Tribolium castaneum: one gene and its partners. The protein of the gene in region 2 purifies or fractionates together with the protein of the main gene of each other region. This does not show direct contact. Links are inferred from orthologs where the notes say so. Each region holds a gene or a part of one and is shown on either strand. Other genes may lie near its edges. The genes, in order: nuclear pore glycoprotein p62, mbo and Nup214.

Region 1 (3,963 bases), on a different chromosome or scaffold from region 2:
AAATTTAATTTTTCTGAAATATACTATACTGTTAATTGTAACTTTGATTTAGTAAAGGTAGTCCTTCATATTAACATTTTGAGGACATTTTCAGTTTAAGTGGTTGCTAAATATTTAAAATTACGCATTATATCATTTTCGTAAAAAATGGACTTACACTTCTTTAACTCGCAGGTACAGATTATCTATCGATAAACCGTTCAAGAAATCGGGCGTCAATCAATTAATACGTTATTTATCAAAAACTTTGGAATTTCAAAACGAGCAAAAGTATGAAATTACAAATTCTTTATTTTTTTAATCAAAAAGCTTTGTTGCAAGTTTACTCATATTTTTGTAGTTCCCAAAATGGATCACCACACTATCCCCAAAATCGGGTTTACGTCAACGCAGTGCAAACCCGGCACAGGTTTTCTGCCAACAATTAATACGAAAAAGGCCGTGACACTCGAACTGTGCCACGGAAACGACAAACAAGTCATATCACTGCCTGCGGATCGTCTGGATCAGAACAAGCGATACTACGTCACATTTACAGTCAAGGGGAATGAAGGAAGCCCCCCAGAGGAAGAAACAAAAAGCCACAGACATTCAAAAAGCGACTAAGTGCAATATCTTGTTAGATTTATTGTTTGATATGAGAAATTTGTACAAGGCGTTATTGTATAGAGGAAATTTTAATAAAAACGTTTTTCTTGTAAGTCTCATGTAACTGTGTAATCTGTTCCAAATGAGAGCAAATCTGAGACGAGTTTCTATCAATCCACTGGAGCGAATTCATGTGGGCATTTAGAATGCGACTGACTTGAATGACCTACAACATACACACATGATAGGATAGTGAGTCGAAACAAAAATGTGGCCAAGAGTGCTGTGAAGTAGGCAGAGCAGTCTTGACAACATTTGTTGACACAAACCGGATCAGTAATATCTTCATTTTTGTTAGACTCGTTCAAATGTTCCACAATTTCTTTCAAATCCTCGGACATTTGCTTCAATTGGGAGTCAATTATTTCAGACAATTGATACCTAAAACACCCACAGAATGTCGAATATTTTACTGTAATAAACAATTACGTTTGGAATCTATTCTGATCCGTGACTGGAATATCAGTTAATTGTTTCTCTAGAGGAAGACTCAACTCATCTAATTCATTATCTTGAGCTAATACGAAATCAAGCTCTTGGTCTAGTTGTTTCTGCTGCTGTTTCACACGCTCAATTGTTTCATTCAAGGCCAATATTTTATCAGTGTTTGAAACCAACAGGTTATCCCAAGCGTTCAGCTGTTTTGTTTGATTAATGAAGAATTTTCCTTGTTCTTCCAAGTCTATAGTCCATTTGTTGATACAGTCCTCTAGCTGAGCATAGGTTAAGGTACCAGAAGTTGGCAGACTTGCTGCTGTTGTGGTGGTCACAGCTGGCGCTCTTAAAAATTATACGAAACATATCAAAAGTGCTGTAAAAATTTCCCGGACGTATGTTCATAAACTCTTATATTTAATGAAATATCAAAACTACAATATAATACAAATCAGGAACCAGGTGGAGCATTGTCAACGCTGATTTTAAGTTTGTTAAAAAAAAAGATTTCAAATATTTTAATCAATATTTTACGCAAGATATGGTTCAAAATTTGATAAATTCGACATACAATAATAAAACGGTACGAATTAAACGCACAGTAAAAATAATAATGTCTAAGTATGCAACTCGCATATGCTCGTTGTATAACGACAGCCCTCGAACTTTAACCTAGTGTGTTCGCACTCGTATTATATGATCAAAATCGAATTTATTAATAATCTTTTTATTAGTACCCTTAATAAAATACTAGTCAAGACATACTTTAACTAAACTTTCACAGTACTCTTGATATATGTTATTATAAACTGTGACACGCATTTGCGCGGGTTAAAAGTATTTATAATTAGAGTACATACTGTGTAGTAGCTGTAAGCCCCCCTAGGCCTAAACCAGAGGCTGATGTTGTTGTTGTGCTTGAAGGGGTTAGGGTTGTGGTTAGTTTCAAAGGTGCGGAAGTTGCAGCGCTGCTTGCCAACGAAAAACCTAAATTTAAATCGTGTAAAGACTACAAAACCCTAATTTTTTTAAACCTGAAGATAGGGATGTCCCTGTGGACAAAATAGGAGTAAACGAAGTGGCAGCGGTGGTAGTGGTTGAAGCACTTGTCCCTAGACTGAACTGCGGCGTAGTCGTCGAAGTCGCAGCTAAAGTTGACTAATTATTACATAAATTTAACAAAAAAGGGTTACTAACGAGTTATTGTAAAGCTGGGAGTTGAGGTTGCGCTTGTTGTTGTTAAGCCGAAACTTACTGACGCTGTTGTTTTGGGGGTTGTACCCAGGAAAAACCCGGTACTGGTCGTAGGAGTACCGAATAGATTTGTTAGTGGTTTGTTAGGGGTTTGCTGTTTGGTATCGCCTGCACCGCCCGTAGCTGTGGTGGCTGTGTAATAAAAGGGTTAGTTGCGTTTTGGTTAGCAAAATGTCTTACGTACTGGCAATTGTGCTAGTGGTAGGTAATGTGAAACCTGTAGCCGTTTTAGGGGCACCGAAATTGAAAGACATTTTCAGAAAATTAGTTAGCTTCAAGTAGCTTCACAAAATTTATAGGTTAGCTTGACGTTAAATTTTAAAACGATGGTGGCGGCACTAGTGGCGATTGAGGGAAAGATGGATTTTTTAACCATGGCCTCATAAAATTTAGGAAGGAGGAAAATTAAGTTTCAAATTATAATCATAAGTGTCCGTTGGCGTTTCTAGTGTCATAAGCTTCCATATTCCACTTTTTTATAACAGAAGGTTTTATCTTTATTTTTGTTACCCGTAAGTAAAGTCAAAATTGTATAAAAAAAACAAAAAAAAAACAAAAAAAGTGGAGAGAATTAAATTTTCTCTAAAAAGATCCGAAAAGCCAAATTTTTATCTTTAATAATAAGTTTAAATTGTTTTAAAGTGCAAATTATTTTCCATCACTCAAACATTCAAACCATTAAAGATGATTCCGCAAACTTTTTTGTGAGAAATTTTAATCTTCTATAACTTTTTAATTTTTATATCTTAAACCCTATAGACCGCCTTTCAAAAAAATATAGGACGAAGGATAATTTAAATTTTTGTCATTACTATTTTAGTTGGTAGTTTTTCTCAGACTATTAAGAGATTAATATATTAAGATTATTAAGATGCTTACGAATCAAATTAAACAATTTGAAAAGGGGAAGATCTACAGTGTCTCAAATCGCTCTCATTTAAACTCCACCCTAAATTGGTGAGTTACAGTGGAACTCGGTTATAACGAACACTCAAGGGACTTCAGAATTTGTTTGTTATGTATTATACCCGATCGTTTGTTTTATCCGAACATCGTCGTTTATAGAATAGTTTTCAAGTCAACTGAATTCTAAACGTGAAACAGATACACGAAATAAAGTATTAATTTAATTTATTAGAAAAGCATATTTATCTACATTCATCTATGTTTAATAGTTATCTAACAATTCAATAATTTTTAGTTTCGTATCCTAAATTTAAAGATTTCTAATTACTTGGTCTGTTTATGTGCCTGCTGGAATGTCGCTGTAAGTGCATGTAAGTGCTGTAAGTGCATGTGCGTACGTTATAACTTATAACTTATAACCGAGTCCTAGACCACTTTTTTGTCTAAATTTCGAACGTTAAAAGTGAAGTTCATATATTCACTATAACCGAACTAATTTGTTATTGTAGTGTATTAAGTACTGTACCTATATAGAAAAGGCTGAGTGAGGTAGGGGGAAGCAAGTAGGAGAATGACGAACGGGCACTCTTGCTTGTCCCGTCGTGGTGTTAGGAGTGAATAAACAATTATTTGGGGAAAGTGGTATTTTATTTAAAAAATATTACAGTTATTATAATATAAATATAGGGCTTTAAAATATGAGTTTCCATTTCTTCGTTA
Region 2 (4,130 bases):
TTTTATGAGACCAACTTCAGAAAAGGGACGGGCTTAACTACCAACAAGACGATGATATTATTGTCGTGGAAAATTTTAATGGCGGACAAATGGACGGGAAAAGCTTTATACGGACGGAACACATTTTTAAACCCAGTCTCCAAAATATACACAAAGTAATAATAATTTTACTTCGATTTTTTATAACTATTTACCTGTGATTTTTTATAGAAGCCAAAATTTAGAAAGAAAAAACTATTTTTTACGTTCTAACACCGTGACAATAATTGTTAAATAATCAGGTAATATCAAATTACTAAAAATTTTATTGAGGATTTGTTGAAGGCAGGTATTGTAGGATAGGATCATTGTTATATTTTCTTCAGGATACAAGGACAAAAAATAACAAGTCGAATTAAAATTTTTATAGTATATTATGAAACAACTAAATGCCTGAAAAGCCACAATAAAAAGTGCCACCAAAAAATATGAATAACAGGATTTTAGCAACCTTTGGCGACAACTTTAAAAATGATTATTTTTTTAAAGAAATGGAAACAAATTTTTCCAGATTTTGTTCATTTAAAAATTAAAAGGACAATTAAAGTCAATTAATTTATTACTTTTCACCTATAAAAAATACATTTACGCAAGAAACATATTTTGAATCCGTGATTTTTTACCTGCTGCAAAATTTTACAAAAAAAAATAAATTTATTACTTGGTTTTTAAAAATAAAAATATATTTCCCGAGAAACCATTAACGTAAAATAATAGATACATGTAATTCCAAAAAAAATCCACGAAATATCCAGTAATCCCAAAAAATACATCAAAATCTCAAATCAATTCGTGTAATTCCAGTTTAGCTTTTGTAATTCCAAAATAATCGAATAACTGCGTATCATTATAGTCATTTAAATAATCTTGGATAAATCCAACAAAAAAATCCATAAATTACTAAAATAATTTTAGTAATTTTAAATACTTTCCTCGATACCCAAAAGAGGGTAATGATACCACCACATTTTATTACATATGTCATATTTAAATGTCCCACCAACAGCAACAAAAAAAATCACAGTAACATAATACCCGTTGTTAAAAAAAATATTAAAAACTCCAATCTGTTTTTTTTTTCAAAAATTAATTACTAATTATAACTAAAGATTATTGTACCACAGAACCCTTCATTTCAGAAAAAAAAAAACTCGGAAAAAGTGATTAAGCTTAAATCACATCGAGTTGGGACATTAAAGAGCCGGTTTACAGAACATTTTAATTACAATCAAAATTTTAATTCTACATTAACTTAACATTTGTTAATGCATTTTAAATAGCAACTTAATTAATTACTTTAATACTAAGTTAAATCTTAATTTCGCTTTCTGTAAACAGGCCCTACGTTTCTCATATTTTAATTCTATTATCAAATATTGCGCCATATTTAAAAATTAAGTCACTTAAAGGCAAAAGTGATAAATGTATCACTTTTTTCCTATTTCAAAAATAAAAAAAATCCTCGAAAAACTGTTAACTTAAAATAATATGTACAATTATTTACATCCCAAAAAATTCCCCAAAAATCCAGTAATTCCAAAAAAATCCACCAAAATTCCAAATTCGCGAAATTCCAACTTAAATTTTGTAGTTCCAAAAAAATTGAATAACTGCGTTATCAATATGGTGTACAATTAAATAAACGCAGGAAAATCCAAAAAAAATTACAGTAATAAAAAAAAATTCCATAAATTACAAAAACAATTTTAAAAATTTTAAATACTTCCAAACAATTCCAACCAAAAGTGCAAACAATTAATTTTTATTAATTATTTATTTATTAAGAAACAGCTCAAAGAGCTAAATATCATTTAAATGTCCCACCAATAGCAACACCTGATCTATTATGCAAAAAAAATATTCAAATAAATTAAAACAATTCAGCAAAAAAATGTAAAAATTAGAGGTTTCAGACTTTTATCTCCTCTAATTGTGGCTCTAAAAGTGCAAGTTTAAAAAGTGGCATTGTCCAAAACCGCAGCCCGTTAGTTTTCGACTGTAGAAACAAAATTTTATGTTTTATTTTATTAAAAAAAAATCTTCCCTTATACTCGAGAAACAATTTTTAAACAAAATACCTTACAGACCCTTTTTGTGGCCCATTTTTTTAGCCACAAAACTAGATTTTTTGTTTATAATAAAAAGCACAGTAACATAAAAAAAGGAGAATGCAATTTTTCTACACCTTAAAAACTCAAATCCTCATTTATTATTTTTACTGTACATTTAATTTCTACCCCTTCTAATACACCACGTACCCTGATTTCTGATCAAAGTGAGCTGTGACGAAATTAGAAACAAGATATTAAAGTCAAGGCCACTTTGATGTAATTATAATTACAGATTATTACCCCTCTTAACCAAAAAATTTACCTTGATTTGAGAAAAACACCACGAAAAACGCTTTTTTGACCGAAAAAAAACCGGTAAAAAGCAGTGACATTTTGAGGTTATGTTTACTGTTTTCTAGTTTTTTTTCGTCGATTTCGCCGATTTATCACGCAAAAAGGGTAAATGCGGGTAAAGCATGCAGGTAAGCGATGTTTACTTACTTGGTGCGTAACATTATCCCCATCGTTGCTTCTTGCAGCTTTAATATTTAAGGTTAGGACACAATTGTTGGCAAAATCCCAGGTGAAAAGCACGCCGTATTTGACCGCAAGCAAGTTGATTGACTTTTTTAACTTTTCCGGCACTGCTTCACGCACATTTTTTAAAATTTTGATTTTACTTAGCCCTAAATAATCGGTAGAATCCATGATTACCGGCAACGGGCTTGTTTGGAGCGAACCACGTGCCACAGTGGTGCCAACCGCCCGCCGTAAATAGCGCCTAGTTTGAACGTTTTTGTGCCGGAGTTGGAAGCGAGTTCGAAGATAATAGCATAATAATAAGCACGATAATAAGTTTAATAATGAATGAAGCCTTATCTTGGACGGTAAATATGTCTGGGTTTTGGTGTACGGGCTCTGTTGTTCTAAGAGTTGTCGGGAATTATGCAAAGTTCTGATAAAATTATTGTGTCGCGAAGTGTGGGGGCTTTTTCTTGTATTATTGAAGAGGTAATTTGCGCGGGGAGACGGCACCTTATTGGTATTTTCGCATATTTATGAATCGAGTAAGGTTCCATCCGCTCGCGTATACAAATTGAATACTTCCCCATGTATTATAAACGAACATTTGAGGCGATATCTATTCTTCGATAACTCCTATTTAAATATTAAACATCCAAATTGGGGCGCCCTTTCTCAAAGAGATGGATTTTTCAATATAGGCGGCGGGGGCCGGGCGGCTCATCCACAATTTTATTACGAGGGTTACAAAAAAAAGTATCACTAGTACAGCTCGGAAAATATGCAAAATGCATATACAGGATGTATCAGAAATACGGGTGTTCATTTCTCCACATAAAACTCATAACAACTTTTCTATACAGGGTGATTCTTTAAGGCTTACATTAGAATAGCTGGGGCTTTAAAATTTTGTATACGACCCAAATCGACCAGTCTAAGTTCAACTAAATTATTTTCAAAATAACTGAGCTTTCGAAACTACAAAAAAATGGCGTCAAGTTTGAAATTTTAAGTAGTAACTACAGATTTTATTGCATATTTGAATTCACCTTTTCAAGTTGAGTAAAATTTACCCTAGTTGTTGGTACTTATCTGTTAAGTTTTTGACATATGTCAATTTTTTTGTTTTTTTTTTTTGAAATGGTTTATCTAAGATATCATAGTCCTTGAACCCTTTGCGATAAGTGACTATTTTTTTTTGCATTCGATAACCGAAGGTTTGAAAAGTTTTCTATATTTTTCAAAATTGTTGACTTTTAAAGTTCATGGCTAGTATGATTTTTTGAAAATGGTTATCAAAAAACTGCTCTAACTCAGTTTTTTCAAATGGAACGACCCTATTTTCTTAAGGCAATCGAAAATATATCGATATTTATGGTCACTTTTATAAATAGGTCCTATAACTATCTCTTACAGTTTTTGAAAAAAATCACAAAAACTGATTTTATTTGGTAATTTTCATAGTAAATCAAGTAGACCTTGCAAAATAGTCAACAATTGTCAAACTTCAATTTTTTA
Region 3 (3,772 bases), on a different chromosome or scaffold from region 2:
TCGTTTGAAAGTGACGACGAACCTGCACACAAAAAAGTAAGAGGAGACAAAAATCTGATTACCAGGACCCCCATTCACACATTAAAAGGCCATAAAGAAACCATAACTTCGACTTCCTGGATTGACAACCATGTAATTTGCACTGTGTCAATGGACCATACGATTAAATTTTGGGATGCTGAGTTGTGTGGTATCAAGAATGAAATAGTTGGCCAGAAGGCATTTTTGGATTCTTCTTGGTCTTCCCTATCTAACACATTATTAGCATGTTCAGCTGATAGACATATTCGGTTGTACGACCCAAGGTCTTCAGAGGGTTCAGTGGTCAAGACTACTTTCACCTCACATACGCTATGGGTCAGTTCAATTGAATGGTCAAAATACGATGAACACCTTTTTATGTCGGGAGGATACGATTCTGGTGTCAAATTGTGGGATTCCAGAAGCCCTAAAGCCCCACTTTATAATTTAGAGGGACACCAAGGGCAAGTCCTAGCTGTAGATTGGTCCAATAACAAGTATCTGGTCTCTGGAGGGTGCGACAATAGTGTACACATTTTCAGAAATAATTATGTGTTTTAAGTGAAAAATAAAATTAATTTTAAAAAAATTTATTAGTTTCAGCTTACAAAATTTAACGTAAAACATTTTCCTTCATTAACGCCAACTGGAGAATGAGGAGCTCCTACAAAAAAAAATGTACTATGCCATTTATCAGTTTAAAAATTCTTACCCAGAGAACGGCGCACTCTGCGCTGGGGCGTTGGCAGCTTGCTGTGCCAAATTCCCAAACCCTACTGTTGGTTGATTGGCTAAATTACCAAAAGCTGTGTTCTGGGTACTAGCAGCTGCCCCAAACCCGGGGCTTGAGGACCCAAACACCTTTGAAGTATTCCCAAAAGCCGGTGGGCTGCCAAACGCCGGCGCTCCTCCAAAACTAGGCGAACTCCCGAAACTGGGCGATCCCCCGAAAACGGGAGCTGCCCCAAATCCCGGTTTTTGGAAGCTCTGACCTGCCCCAAACCCGGTTTGTCCCACAGTTCCACTCCCACCACTGAAGGGCCCCGCAGGTTGCTGACCGAAACTGCTACCCCCGAAGAAGGACGACTGTTGGCCGAAGGAAGATTGGTTCCCGAAACCGGTACCAAAACTCTGGGACGTGTTACTGAAGAGCGATCCACCACTGGAACCGAAAACTGAGCCACTTGACGACACTGGAGAGGCTCCGAAAACGCTCTTATCGCCCCCGAAGGGGTTCGCAGGTGCACCGAAACCCGAACTTGCAGTCGTTGAAACATTGAGACTTCCGAAACCGAACGTTCCGGAACTGGTATTGGTGCCGAAAGTACCGGACTGAGTAGTGGCAGGGGCGAAGACATTCGACGAACCGAAAATAGAGGGAGTCGTAGATGCAGGTGCCCCAAAAAGTGAGGGGGCAGTGGACGCAGGTGCTCCGAATAAAGATCCACTAGTACCGAAAGTACCTCCGCTTGTAGTCGTTGCCCCAAAAATGCTCCCAGAGCTCGTAGTTGGTGCATTTCCAAAGACGGAACCACCCGTTTGGCCAAAAGCGGGTGCTGAACCCCCGAAAACGTTCGTACTACCTGACGAACCAAAAACAGAACCTTGACCAAAAGCGCTTGTATTTTTGCTCCCATCGAAGGGCTGGCTTTGGCCGAACGTTGAAGAAGTTGTGGTACCACCAAATATCGACGGCTGTGTGCTTCCGAATATTGACGGTTGAGTCGCATTTGGTTTTGCATTAAATAGGGAAGGCTTTTGGGCGGCGTCTCCAAAAAGACCGAACCCTTGAGATTGAGTTGTCGTTGTAGGACTGGCAAAAGTCGACTGAGTGGTACCAACAGGAGTTCCAAAAACTGGGGTAGTGGGAGAGCCGAAAATTGACGATTGTGTCGTAGCTGCAGCCCCAAATGAACTAGTAGACAAAGGGGTAGCACCACCAAAAATCTGAGTGGTAGGTGTGGTAGCGCCAAAAACAGTCGCTGGTGAAGTACTTGACGAAACATTGCCAAAAATTGACGGCTTTGATACATTACTATCGGTACTTGCAACAGTACCAAAGACAGAAGCTGTAGTGGAGGATGATGGCAGGGCTCCGAAGATGGATGGTTTCGAAACGTTTGAATCCGTGGTTGCAACAGCCCCAAAAACACTTGATGCAGTTGTGCTGCTAAATATTGACGGTTTCGAGGCGCTAACTTCGGTACCACCAAAGAGTGGTTTAGTTGAAAGAGCACCACCGAAAAACCCAGTTGTGGGCGGAGCTGAAGATATGGTTGGAGACTGAGTAGTACTACTAACAATAGAGCCGAAAATTGATGAAGTTGTCGCTGGCGAAGAGAAAATTGATGAAGTTGTTGCTGGCGAAGAGAAAATTGATGACGTTGTTGCTGGCGAAGAGAAAATTGTTGAAGTTGTTGCTGGCGAAGCGAAAATTGATGGAGTTGTTGCTGGCGTTGAGAAAATACTAGTTGAAGATGGGACTGTTGTAACAACAGGAGCTGTAACACCGGTAGTTGTAACAGCTGTAGTAACAACAGTGGCCGCACTGGTGGCGATTTTCGGTGTTGTAGTTACGGCAGGAACAGCCGGTGAGGGAAAAATAGATGATTTAAGTGCCCCCAATGAAAACGGTGAGGACTGAGTTGATGGAGTGCCACTGGTAGTACTAACTGAATTTGGAGCTGTTACACCAAAAGTGGGTTGGATTGAGACTGGACTCGAGACAGCTTGCGTTGTTTTAGGACTGGTTGTTACAGAAGTCGTAGGGAAAATTGAACGTTGGGTACTGCTAGCAACGGGGGAAACGGCAGAAACCACCACATTTGGAGTACTTGTTGCAGAAGTAACTACTGGCTTTGTAGAAAACGTAAAGGTTTTCGATGTCGCAGCTTCGGTCACTTTTTGTGTTGCTGCACCGAAAATACTTGAAGTATTAGTAGCGCCACCGAACGAAAACTGGGTGGAGGTTGGTGCTGTGGTGGTAGCAATACCAAATGACGGAGTAGAAGTTTTCGTAAAAATCGTACTTTCCGCGGTAGTACTAACACTCGTGGATAGATTAAAAACAGAAATAGACGTACTGGGTTTGGTAGTCGCTGCACTACTTGTTAAAATGGGCGCCGCACTAGTAGTTTGTAAACTGAACGAAAATGTAGTTTTAGGCAAAGATGTGGCAAAGAGGTTTGTCCCCACCTTTGGGGTACTGCTAGTAACTGGTTGGGAAGACAAATTAACAAACGATTTAGGTGCTTGCATGGTTGCAGTACTAGTCACTGCCACAAAACTGGGACTTGTTTTAATAATAGACGCTGTCACGGCTGTAGTTGCAGCCATGAAGGTGGGTTTGTAAGTATTTGCTGATGCAGAAACCGAAGTTGAGACAAAAGCCGAATTTGGAGACCCAGCAATCACGTTTTTAGTCAAAGGCGTGAAAGTTTTCTCGGGCAAATTTGTGAAATTTTTAGCCTCGAATTTAAGGGCTAAATTTTGTAAACCTTCGATTGGAGTTGCCGTGGAGTCGAATTTGAGCACAGTGGGTTTGGGAGTTGACTGCGCAAAATCGAGAACCCGAGGTGCAACTGAAGTTTTTTCGGGAAGCCGACTAAGTTGTTTTGGCGGAGTTTGGATTACGGAACTGGCCAATTGAGGCTTCACGAATGAAATATGTGGATATTCTCTTTTTTGGAGAAAAGTCCGCAAATCTTGGACTTTCTTTTTCGTGAAATTTTTCGTTCGATTTATGACGTGT

The links.
Region 1: the proteins of mbo (region 2) and nuclear pore glycoprotein p62 purify together in Homo sapiens (co-immunoprecipitation; 4 studies listed by BioGRID and IntAct, counting the BioPlex papers as one, with this or other methods). This does not show direct contact. The link is inferred for Tribolium castaneum from reciprocal best matches to the Homo sapiens genes NUP88 and NUP62.
Region 3: the proteins of mbo (region 2) and Nup214 purify together in Homo sapiens (affinity purification with mass spectrometry; 6 studies listed by BioGRID and IntAct, counting the BioPlex papers as one, with this or other methods). This does not show direct contact. The link is inferred for Tribolium castaneum from reciprocal best matches to the Homo sapiens genes NUP88 and NUP214.

What each region holds. Positions count from the first base shown.
Region 1 is NC_087396.1:18,040,653-18,044,615, forward strand, and holds nuclear pore glycoprotein p62, read right to left. Parts: upstream 2,694-3,963; 5' UTR 2,592-2,693; coding exon 2,522-2,591; intron 2,470-2,521; coding exon 2,281-2,469; intron 2,232-2,280; coding exon 2,118-2,231; intron 2,071-2,117; coding exon 1,944-2,070; intron 1,429-1,943; coding exon 1,078-1,428; intron 1,030-1,077; coding exon 918-1,029; intron 815-917; coding exon 659-814; 3' UTR 607-658; downstream 1-606. Other genes in the region: ankyrin repeat domain-containing protein 12, read left to right, coding at 341-606. UniProt on the Homo sapiens protein: Essential component of the nuclear pore complex. The N-terminal is probably involved in nucleocytoplasmic transport.
Region 2 is NC_087401.1:12,382,285-12,386,414, reverse strand, and holds the start of mbo (nuclear pore complex protein Nup88), read right to left. Parts: upstream 2,862-4,130; 5' UTR 2,799-2,861; coding exon 2,592-2,798; intron 1-2,591. UniProt on the Homo sapiens protein: Component of nuclear pore complex.
Region 3 is NC_087398.1:6,201,241-6,205,012, forward strand, and holds the end of Nup214 (nuclear pore complex protein Nup214), read right to left. Parts: coding exon 734-3,772; intron 686-733; coding exon 658-685; 3' UTR 596-657; downstream 1-595. Other genes in the region: ribosome biogenesis protein WDR12 homolog, read left to right, coding at 1-582. UniProt on the Homo sapiens protein: Part of the nuclear pore complex. Has a critical role in nucleocytoplasmic transport.